Caenorhabditis elegans: one gene and its partners. The protein of the gene in region 3 purifies or fractionates together with the protein of the main gene of each other region. This does not show direct contact. Each region holds a gene or a part of one and is shown on either strand. Other genes may lie near its edges.

What was found.
Region 1: the proteins of C32B5.15 (region 3) and cdd-2 fractionate together in Caenorhabditis elegans (co-fractionation; one large-scale study listed by BioGRID). This does not show direct contact.
Region 2: the proteins of C32B5.15 (region 3) and emg-1 fractionate together in Caenorhabditis elegans (co-fractionation; one large-scale study listed by BioGRID). This does not show direct contact.

The regions. Positions count from the first base shown.
Region 1 is NC_003282.8:7,546,517-7,549,634, forward strand, and holds cdd-2 (Cytidine deaminase), read right to left. Parts: upstream 1,378-3,118; coding exon 1,233-1,377; intron 1,137-1,232; coding exon 955-1,136; intron 910-954; coding exon 736-909; 3' UTR 602-735; downstream 1-601. Other genes in the region: pam-1 (Puromycin-sensitive aminopeptidase), read right to left, coding at 1-387, 497-601; oef-1 (C2H2-type domain-containing protein), read left to right, coding at 2,042-2,134, 2,178-2,369, 2,422-2,530, 2,575-2,681, 2,725-2,954, 3,006-3,118.
Region 2 is NC_003281.10:10,647,663-10,651,540, forward strand, and holds emg-1 (Ribosomal RNA small subunit methyltransferase nep-1), read left to right. Parts: upstream 1-1,856; coding exon 1,857-2,223; intron 2,224-2,560; coding exon 2,561-2,889; 3' UTR 2,890-3,246; downstream 3,247-3,878. Other genes in the region: orc-4 (ORC (Origin Recognition Complex) subunit), read left to right, coding at 1-124, 516-629, 855-996, 1,049-1,151.
Region 3 is NC_003280.10:969,996-974,859, forward strand, and holds C32B5.15 (F-box domain-containing protein), read right to left. Parts: upstream 2,956-4,864; coding exon 2,612-2,955; intron 1,436-2,611; coding exon 815-1,435; intron 768-814; coding exon 650-767; 3' UTR 548-649; downstream 1-547. Other genes in the region: C32B5.6 (Resolvase/invertase-type recombinase catalytic domain-containing protein), read left to right, coding at 31-94, 251-405, 450-524; fbxc-14 (F-box domain-containing protein), read left to right, coding at 4,308-4,378, 4,577-4,864.

The DNA of each region.
Region 1 (3,118 bases), on a different chromosome or scaffold from region 3:
ACGTCGAAAGTTGCCTTGTAAATTGGCTCATCGAAACATGGGAATGCATAGCGAGCATAAGTCGACTCAAACTGAGTTGAAGCCAAGAACTTTTCGGTGCCGTTCTTATCCTTGTACTGACTGCGATAAAATCCTCGCATCTTATCGTTCAGTTCACCGACAAACTTGAAGTCGAGCTGAACCTTCTGTGGCTGCATGGTAGTCGGAAGCTTGATAGTCAAAATATTGAGCTTATCGTCGTAGCTAGTTTCGAGAGATTTAGAAGCGTCTCCTGGCTGAGTGATAAGCGATACCGACTGAATCAGCAAACTCTGTGCATGCACCTTCAAGACATCAGTAGCTTCTTTGATTGTGACGTCAATCGTTGCATGACCATCGAAAGAGAATCTGAAAAACAAGAATTAGAACTTGAAGTGGTTTTGTTGCAAATTTAAACTACATATCAACATTTATTACTGCCGTCCTAGCTAAACTGAAATATTATTACAGAACTTACTGGTTGAGGCATGGCGATAAACGGACGTTGTAATGAGTTGGTTCGGCGAATGTTGGAAGCCTCTCAAATTTGACCGCCGCGCTTGGGTTTCCACAGGCCGCCATTCTGAAAAGTTTTATTAATAAAATGAATTTTTGACACAACTAAATTGAAAGAAAGAGAAGGATATCACAAATGAAAAAAAACACTACTAGGAATGGCGGGAAATGTGGAAAGGAGTTTCTGATTGGAATAAAAAATTAAGAGACGACTGTAACGTTATGCTCCGTGGCATCATCTTGCTTTAATCCTTTAGCTTCTGATGCTTTTTCTTGCTCAAAAGTGTCGAGCGATTCAGGAGTGAAAGCAAATGGAAGAAGAGCGCGAGTTGAGGTGATGAGAATTTTATTGTTAGATGCAGTTCCCACAACAACCTGCAACGATGACAGTGAAAAATTAAGAAGCTCTAGTTTTCTTACTTTATAGTCACCGAATTCAACTAGAAATTGACGGCAAAGTCCACAGGGAGACGCAGGTTCGCTGAGCTCAGTGACGACAGCAATGGCACGGAATTTCGTGTATCCTTGTGACACAGCAGAAACAATAGCACTACGCTCAGCGCAGATAGTGCCACCGTATGAAGCATTCTCGACATTGCAGCCTACAGAAAATGCTAGAAACTTCAAAAATGCATGTTGCGAAACTGAGAAGCCCGCAGACATCTCGAGTTATGCAACGACAAGAAATCACAAATTACCCTGGACAATTTCCCCAGATTCAGTGAGAAGCGCTGCACCAACTGGAAACTTGCTGTATGGGCAATGTGCCCGTTTCATCGCAGCTCGGGCCAAATGAACTAGTTCCACATCGGAAATATCTTGAGGAAGACTATTCGCGGCCATCTGTAGTTAACTATGACAAAAGTGCATGAAATGAGAAGCGAATGAGGCGAATTAAATTATTAGAAGAACAGAGAACAACATTGATGAGAAAAGTTAGCAATACACAAAAGAATTTGCGTTGTGGAACGCATGCAAAGTGACGTTAAATCCCATATTCAGTGAACGGGTCGCGTTATATTTAAAAAAAACATGACAAAATGGGAACTTTGCAACTATTTTTCAGCCTCAACTTCGAGAATTGGTGAAATGAAAAATCCACGGGACATTTTTGCGCGCGCGCGGCCCGAGAAGTGGTACCTGTACGCAATTTGTCTACCGTATACCTGGACGTTTGGGCGCGTGTATCTCAAAAACGGTTGGTCCAGTTTTTTTGTGATGCATATAAATAATGTCCGAAATTAAATTCTAAATTTTTTGGACCAAAGCTTTTTTCATTATCACGCGCCCAAACCTGGTCTACACTCAAATTATCAGTAGAGCGCATTTGCATAGATGTACCACTTGCCGGGCCGTGGCGCGCGCGCGCATTACAAAAGTCAAAAAAATGCGCGAGCGTGTTTGCGTATCTCATTGCGTACTCCAGCGTACCGTAGTTTGTCGACCACGAACGTTCGTTCGCGAACGAATTCGAACTCAATTCAAACTTGTCTCTCTTTTTATAACAATGCCGAAATCATTGCGAAAACGGTTTGTACTTGTGAGTATCGATGATAACATCGAACAAATTAATGCTGCACGAAAGCTTCGTCGCTATTTGGTGAGTTTTTTCTTTAATTATTCTTCCTAATTCATATTTTTAGACGAACAATCACTTGAATCACATTTTCTCGTCAACTCCGGAAGAAATGAAAGAATATTTGGATAAATTGGACAGTGGAACTTTTAATTTTCGAGAAACAGCCGAGGAACAGAAATCGGTTGATCCGTTTTCGGAAGCAAACCAACCCGCCATTCAGATGTCTTCAAACCAAGAAATATTAGAGAAATGGGCGGTAAGGATTGAATAACTCGAATATTGTTCGAAAATAATAAAAAGTATTTCAGCGCGGAACTTTCGCCGAAAACTCGGATGCGTTGAAACTTTTGCTCGAGCCAACTAACATCGAGGAAGATGCAGTTTTGGATGATCACGAATCAGAGAACATTGTAAACAGTAAGAGTTCGTTCATTTAATTTTTAATATTTCGCTGATAACAGATATTCCGCAATTGTTTATGGTAAACTCAATGGATGCTGAAACACCAAATGACTCGATAATCGTTGAAAACGGAAAGGAAGATCAACTTGATATGGCATATTGTTCGGTGAGACCCCGACAATTGCGTCAGATTCAACTACAATTTTCAGCTGTGCAAGCATGAAGTGGAAACCGGTAGAAACCGAAATACAAAAATTAGGAAACAGACTGAACATGTTCTAGACGCCCACCCAGAATCGGAATTTCTCAATGTAGACATAGCAAAACGCTATGAGTGTGTCCACTGTTTGAGAACTCTTCCTGTGTCGAAATCACCATGTGAACATATTTCTGAACACCACGATAAAACCCACGTGGAAATTGAATTTCGTGACTTATGGTAGGAAAATCACATTGAAGAAATGCTTTTAAAAATTCGATTCAAATTTAGGTCCAATGAGCAAGTGTCAACTTTCAATTCAGTTATGGAAAAATGCTTCTTGCGTCATCTTCCAGTTCCCAGAAGCCGTAGAATTCGAAACGGAAACACCTGGTATCTCTCCG
Region 2 (3,878 bases), on a different chromosome or scaffold from region 3:
ATGCTTTTCGGTTACTATTGTGACGTAGAAGACACGTGGAAACCCGAGGAAATCAGCAAACAGATTCGTAAAATTGTCGAGACGACTTCTCCCTCGTATAATGGAAAATTGTTGATTTTAAAAGGTAGAAATTCTGCTAAAACTTTGAAAAAGGCAGAAAAAACCCACGATTTTCTAATTTTGAAAACAAAAAATGAACAATTCAAGTTCACTTTTTGAAATTCCGCAAAGAATTAAAAATTCTGATTTCAAATCTGGAAATTGAGCTGATAAAGTAATTTTTTACCTTTTTTTTTCGGAACAAATTTCAAATTTTAAACAACTTTAAAATGTAAAAAATCATGCAAAAATCGTGATTTTCAATCAAAACCTATTTTAATCTTTACAGCTTTTGAAATTTTTCTGAAAAATTAAAAAAATCCGGTAAAATCTAGAAAAAACTAATTATATACTGTTTTTTCGGCTCAAAAATTTAATAATTCCAGTGAAATTCTAAAAATTTTTCAAATTTTCAGATCAAACAGTTCGAGCACAATGCGTTTTTCTTTGTGTCTGGAGACTTGTGCAGAATAAAGAGTCAGATGGACCACTTTTGGCGCCAAAAACTTCGTATCGAAACGTTTTTCTAGGTATTTTTTAAAATTTATCTCGGAATTTTCGATTTTTCGAATTTTTAAAAATTGAAAAACGAAAAATTTTTCGATTTTTTGAATTTCCGAAAAATTAAGAAAATGTTCAGAAAATTAACCATAAAATATGATTTTTTTTAAATCTAATTTTCGATTATATTGATGAGAAAAAACATGAAAATTTTAAGCTTATTTTTTAAAAATCTATTTTCTCCGTAATTTCAGAATTCAAAAAACTCGTTAATCAACACTATCCTCCACTGAACGTGAGCAGTGATGTCTACGTATTCCGAGAATTGGATCATCTCGTTAAAATGGGAATTTTGAAGGCAGACGAGAGCACAAATGTGACAAATACCTCGTTTCGGTGGGTTTTTTTTTCAGCTGAAAAATTCACCTCAAATCCTCTTTTTTTTCAGAAAAGTTTGGCTTCATATCAATGATAAAATTGTGGAGGACTCGATCTCGAAGTTGCAGCTCCCGCGAGTTGTTTCCGACTTTTTTATGACTATTTTGAAGTAATTTTGATATTTTTTGTACTATTTGCAATGAAGATTGATCTCGATATTTATATTTTTGTTGAGTTTTTTTTTCTGTGAGAATTATTTTCGGTTTAAAAACCATCATATTATTTTTTGAACTTGTTTTATAAAAATCTTTACAGGAGCTTCAAAAATCGAAAAAATAAAATAAAACCATTTTTCGTTAATTCAAAAATCCCGAAATAAAATATTTAGTTAAATTTTCATGTTTTAGGGGAAATTCGACAAAAAAAGGAACTCACTGAAATTTTTGAAAAACCGTTCAAATTTACAAATTTTTTCGTTTTTGAGTTTTTGAGTTTTTTGATTTTCGACTTACATTTTCTCCGCAGAAATTTTTCAGTGTTTTTGACGAAAAAATATCGAAAAACGAAAAAAGAAGTGAAAACTTTTAATTTATCAAAAATTATGTATATTCCTATATTGATAGATATGGAAAATTAGAAATTTTTCCAAAAGTCGAAAAACTCAATTTTATTTCCAAAAAAGCGGCATTTTTTCGAAAATTTTACAGAACGACCTATCGTTGTTCCCACAGCTTTTATTTAAAATTTGTGCTAAACTATAAAAAATCACAATATTATTCAGAAAATAATTTTTTTTTCATCAGAATTATTGAAAATTCGATTTTTGGTCCTAAAAAAATTACTTTATGACAAAAAAAATTAATTTCTCCGAATTTCAGATGTCCCACGAGTACGATACAGTTGCACCGCCAAATGCGAAGCGCATGAAGACGGATAATCAATTGGAGGACAAGAAGATTTTGTACGTTGTACTGGAAGGATGTAGTCTTGAAACTGCAAAAGTCGGTGGAGAATACGCAATTTTGAGCAGTGATAAACACGCGAATTTTCTGAGAAAACAGAAAAAAGATCCGGCTGATTATCGGCCAGATATCCTACATCAATGCTTGTTGAATCTACTTGATAGTCCGCTTAACAGAGCCGGAAAGCTTCGTGTCTTCTTTAGAACGAGCAAGAATGTGCTCGTTGATGTCTCACCACAGTGCAGAATTCCAAGAACTTTTGATCGATTCTGTGGACTTATGGGTGAGTTTTTGGTTTATTGGAAATTGAAAAAAATATATTTTGAAGTGTTTTTGTATGTAAAATAAGAAAAAAGACAATTTTTCGAGTTTTTTAAAAATTATTTTTTATCAAATTTAAACATAAATTTTTAAAAATACCCTTTTCCTTTTAAAAATACCCGGATTCAAAATACCCCAAAATAGTCTGAAAATCAAAAAAAAATTCACAAAAAAGAGCACAAAAATCCAATTTTCAAAAACATGCTTTAAAATACTTTTTATTGGATTTTTTGTGACTTTTCTTGCAATTAGGTATTTTTATGCAAAATCCCCCTATTTTCTATTTTCCATATTTTCAGTCCAACTCCTGCACAAACTCTCCATTCGAGCCGCCGAAACCACTCAAAAGCTGATGTCAGTAGTGAAGAATCCAGTGTCGAACCATCTTCCAGTGGGATCCCGTAAGATGCTCATGTCGTTCAATGTACCTGAGCTAACAATGGCTAATAAGCTTGTTGCACCGGAAACCGACGAGCCTCTGGTCCTTATTATCGGTGGAATTGCTCGTGGAAAGATCGTCGTCGATTACAACGATTCTGAGACCAAGATCAGCAATTATCCATTGAGTGCAGCGTTGACTTGTGCCAAAGTGACCAGTGGACTTGAGGAGATTTGGGGAATTATTTAATTGATTTTTTGCAGTTTTTTCATTTTATTGTTGTCTGTTTTTGTTACTATCTTCATCTTATAAAGTGCAAAATCACTTTTTTTTTTCGAAAAAAAATGCCGTTTTTTTGTAAATTTCAATGTCTATTTCTTACTTTTACACTGAAATTGTTTTAAAAAAATCAAATATTCTAAAAACCCAAAAAATTAGTTTTTTCTTTGATTTTCCTTTCGTAGAGTTCTCTTTTTTTTTTATTTTTTCAGTTTTATTAGGTAGTAATTTAAAACGTTTTAAAATTTTACAATATTTGGCATAAAATTCGGCAAAAACTTTTTTTTTTCAGAAAAATTCTAAATAAAAAAGTCCAGGAGCCTAACTTTTCAGTTTTTACCAATTTTTCAGACAAAATCGAAGAATAATCGTGAAAAATGCGATTTTTTCGCTAAAAATACGGTAGCTGGTATCGAAGCGACAATTTTTTTAGTTGCAGAAGGATGTGCGCCTTTAAAGAGTACTGTAGTTTTAAACTTTCGTTGTTGCGGAATTTTTATTGATTTTTTGTAGTTTTTCGATAAATTATCGATTAAAAAAAAAAGATAAACTCAAATAAAAAATTAAAAAATACAAGAAAACTGTAAAATATTATAAATTTCAACATAACTGGAGAAAAACTGTAAAAAAATTTGAAAAAAAAAAACAATTTTCATATTTTCTCTCCAGTTCTGATAGAATTTCTGACATTTTAAACTTTTTTTTTTACTTTTTATCATAAAAACTATGGCAAATTAAGGAAAATTCTGCAGAAATGAAATTTGGAAATTACAGTACTCTTTAAAGGCGCACAATATTTGGCATAAAAAATCTTCGCTTCGAGACCAGGTACAGTAGTTTTGACACCGAAAACGGGCCATTTTTTCAAAAAATAAATGAAAATTAAGACTTAAAATTCATTTTTGTTCCGAAAAATGTACTTTTTTTCAGTTAAATATCATTAAAAATTATTAAAATTT
Region 3 (4,864 bases):
TATTTTAAATATAATAAGCATTTCTTTCAGGTCATTGATTCAATGGCATCGTTAGTCGACCTGTACACCATGGACTCCCGCGGGCTCCACGAAAGTATGTTTTTTTTTCTAATTGATCTGAAAAAAAATTGATGTTGTATTCTTACGATAAATTTTATTTCGTTTTCTAAAACTCACTCATAAGTGAGTAAAAATCGATAGAAGTTATAAGATAGCGAAAATCCGAGCTTCAATCAATTTTTTTTTTCAGTTTGCGACTTGGCTACACCTTTCTTCCAACTTCTTGCCCATCCACGCATTTCGATGGAGGTCAAGTTATTGATTAACAGACTCAAAGGAGTATTATTGACTCGTGATGCAGCGATTCTTCAGTTGATAATTCAGGTTTACGAGAATATTGCCGAGGTGAGCTTACATAGCCATTCTTTCTCGAACCGTCTAATTTTCAGGGCGATCAAGAGGCTGAGGAAGCCGACGAGCGAGTGAAAGCGTTGCTGGCTGAACGCTTCGGGAATGACATTTAATTAACAAAAATTTGCAAATACTATTATTTTACTTCTTTTGGAATGTACTGTAAATTTATCTGGATTATTTTAACGATAAACAACATCTCACTATGTAAACCAAGTGATTACAAAAAATTAGAAACTTAAAGTTGCCATTGAACCAGTCCAAATGACTTGGGTTTGACCAAAATTGATATCAGTCGTCCATTACTTGAGATATCAAGCCATTCTTCACAATTGATAATTTTTTCGAGAGTTTCTCTGAAAAAAAACGAGTCTACAGATTAGTTCCCCAACAAATCACCCACTCGTTGCAATAATCTATGGGTCGTGTGGCAGGATCCCATGGTTTTGCATTAACTTCTTGATAAATGTTTTCCACGTTCAATTGGTAGCCGGGAGCTAAAGAAAAGGTCATTGTTTGGATGTTTTGAAAATTTATGTCCGTTGTCCATTGGTGCAACCAGTGCATAACTTGTTCAGACGAAATAAATGCATTTTTGGCGCTTAAATGACGCCCCTTGAATCGAGGGATTACACTGTCAGCCATTAAACATGAACTACCAAGAAACAATCTCTTGATTGAGAACAAACCACATTCATCTTTAAGTTCACCATCTATCTGTGGATACAACGACAAACTGCCTAAGTTCGGCCATGTCGAAAAGATTTGATCTAGAAAGGTGATTGGGATTGTATCTAGCTTAACCATTTCACTTAGAATAATGTGGTTGACATTTCGAATATTTGAGAAATGGTGAATCTTTTGTTGACTCATTCCTTGCTTCCAAAAAAATATTATATTTGATTTGAGATGTGTTTGGTGGAGGTTCAAAATCGTGTTTCGAAGCATTTCGTGAACTACTTTTAAGGTTGATCCATTGAAATAAAATTTGATTATACTGCTGGCTTCATGGCACGGAGTTGCGCTGAAATGCAAAATTAAAATTATTTACTGTGCTGGCCACAAACGGGGCTTCGTGAATTTTGGACTGTGTTAAATTAACCATAACTTAAAAGCTAATCATTATTTTCGAAAACGGTCAACTAACAAAACGTTGGTCATTATGTTGTTGACATTGCCTGACCGATATTATTTTACAAAAACTGCCCTGAAAAACGGTACAGCGACAGACATCTGGCTGGTCGATTTTTGACCTCGAATCTGAAATCGTCTGTAACTCAAGAAAAAATCGCTTCCATGAGAATAATTGAATTAATAACATGATCTTCATAAACATTTATGCCCTATGCATATAATAACTTTGTCCTCAACCCGCCGGGAAGTGAATGATATACAACTAAGCCTATATATTCCAAACTGTTGTGGATCATATTTCATAAAAATGATAGGACTTTTCAGAGTATTGTTTTCAGGCGTGAAACGACCTACATAACTATGATAAATTATTGATTCTTCAAAAAAACAAATGAATAATCAAAAGCAATCATTATTTTCGAAAACCGGCAACTAACACAATGTTGGCCATTATGTTGTTGACATTTCCTGACCAATATTATTTTACAAAAACTGCCTTGCAAAACATTACAGCGGCAAACATATGGCGGGTCGGTTTTTAACCTTGAATCTGAAATTGTCTGTAACTCGATAAAAATTGCTTCCATGAAAATAATTGTATTAATGAAATAATTTTTACTAAAGATGGAAGCGATTTTTTCTTGAGCTACAGACGATTTCAGTCAAAAATCGACTAGCCAGATGTCTGTCGCTGTACTGTTTTACAAGGCAATTTTTGTAAAATAATACTTATCAGACAATTTGAACAACATAATGACCAGCATTTTGTTAGTTGACAGTTTTCGAAAACAACGTTTAGTTTTTCAATTATGGCCATTCAAACAAAGCCAAAAAAAAAAACGAAAAACCGTTTGTGCATATCTTTTTGGCCAGCATTGTATTTACAGTAAGACTTTTGTATTACATGTGTAATATGGACATATTGGATACCCTATACTTACAGTCTTTCGGTCAGAACTTTTCAAAGTACAGTTTTTGAAAATTTTGATTGAGCTCGGCTGCGCTTAAGAGAACTCAAAAACGCTGATAATCAGGCTAGTATATTTTCAAAACGTAAGGAACTGACCAGTAAACCATTGTTTGTCCAATTTTCAATTTAAACCACTTTTCTTGCTGAATAATGTCTTCTCTTGACGCTTCTCTAATTAAAAACGATAAGTGTTCACTTAAATTATTAATGTCCTTCATTTGCATGACGTAAGAACGTTCAACGGATAAATTCGAACACGAATGGATCATCGACGAGTATCCTTTTTTTATTGATTTTCTGGCCAACGTTTCAGTTTTGGAAGAGCAAAATGAAAAGTTAAGCACGTCGATGAAGCTCATTTCCTGAGGAATTTGCCTACGGATCACAAGTGGAAAGGTGAAGAGGTTGAAGGGCATTCTGAAAAAAAAAACTATATACATTATGTAATAAGAGGAAATGGTAAGCAGCAACTTATAGAGAAAAGAGAAAATTCAATACAAAAGTAATTGTTTTTTTTTGAAAAAAAAAATTGTGCATAGTGATAGCGATAGTGCAGGATTAATTATCAATAGAATTGTATAAGTGCCAGGCTCATAAAAAACAGCGATTGAAAATAAAGCCATTGAGTACAGAGCAAAACCGATTAAAGCCTCGATGTTTTATTCATCTTGATTTGAACTTCAACATTTTCGGGGAAAAAAACGATAAAGCACCATGAATATAACATTCATACAACATTTGGTGGTACCTAAAAACTTCAAAAATATGGAGCTGTGTGCTGGCCAACCGAGGGGTCAACCATGTGACGTATTGCGTCTTCCCACCGATGCAGTCTCCCGCTGGTCTATGGAATTGCGGGAGGCGTCAACTTGCAGGACCAATTTTTCGCTGAAAACGGTTAAAGGTGGAGTAGCGCCAGTGGGGGAATTGCTTTAAAACATGCCTATGGTACCACAATGACCAAATATCATAGTAAAAATTAAAAAAAAAATTTCTAAATTTTATATGATTTTTTGAAAATTGAAAAAATCTCGAATTGCATCAAATTCCTATTTGAATTACCGCCAATAGTTCGATGTTCGATGGAGCGCGCTTGCATTATTTTAAATTTAAAATTTCGAATCTAAATCTTTGAAATAGATTATTTCAGGCTCAACGTCGTTGAAAAACGTGATATCTCTGTTTTCAATTATTTTTAGTGAACAATCTACATTTATCTTGAATTTTTCGATAAATCTCCAGTAAAATTACTCAAAAAAAAACATGAAAAATCAATTAAAAATAAGAAAAATTAATAAATAAAAGTTAAAATAATGCAAGCGCGCTCCATCGAACATCGAACTATTGGCGGTAATTCAAATAGGAATTTGATCATTGTGGTACCATAGGCATGTTTTAAAGCAATTTCCCCACTGGCGCTACTCCACCTTTAACTAGCAACATGTATAGATTCTTCTTATGAAATCTAATTTGCAAAAATTAGAGCGGTCTGATGGACTAGATTTTCTGAGCACTTTTTTTTTACGAGTCTACTGTTCAACAGAGTGAAATTTAGAATTGAAAGCTTAATAACTGCCGAGAGTTTATAGGGCCCCAGGCCCTATAAACTCTGACTAGATCTTGCCTACCTGTTTTTTTAGACAAAACACCATCTGTCCTAAATAACCGTACCACCCTTTTGCTCAGCGAAATGACCCCAGCTGCAAATGCGCCCTAATTTCCAGCCAATATAAAATCGATATAATCTCAGTGGGGTCTTGCTGTGCCATTCTCGTCGTTACACCTGCACACTATGTTAAATTCAAAACCAGTAAGCTACCAAGTATTGAAGTTCATATTGAAGCATTTGGATCCAAGTTTGAGGTGAGTATTTTGGCTTGGAAAAGTTACGTATTTAGAGGGTTGAGTTTTGAGAATGACGGAGTTTTCGGAGTTGAAATTTTTGGGTATAGAGGAAATTCATCCAAATCACAGCTCACATTATGTTTCAAGCTTTTTGCTCAAGTGCCACACAATTTTTTAATACATAGCTAAACCTACCTAACTATAAGTATATTTCAGAATCCAACTCTGCCTCGTCTGCCCTTCAATTCATACCTTAGAAAAATCAACCCCTTCCTACATCCACTATCTCAAGATAACAGATAACAGCGTGACAGTTAACCGGGTAACCTGTCAAATTACAGTTACCGATAGAAAAGTTGATTATCAATTTGATATCAATCAATTCCCAAGTATCAGTGGTACAGTCGAACTAAGGAATAGTAGAAATAATCTGACCAAAACTATGAAGTACCTTCTCGACAAACTCTTTAAAGGAAGAACTGTGAAAGTGGGCCAACTTGCAAT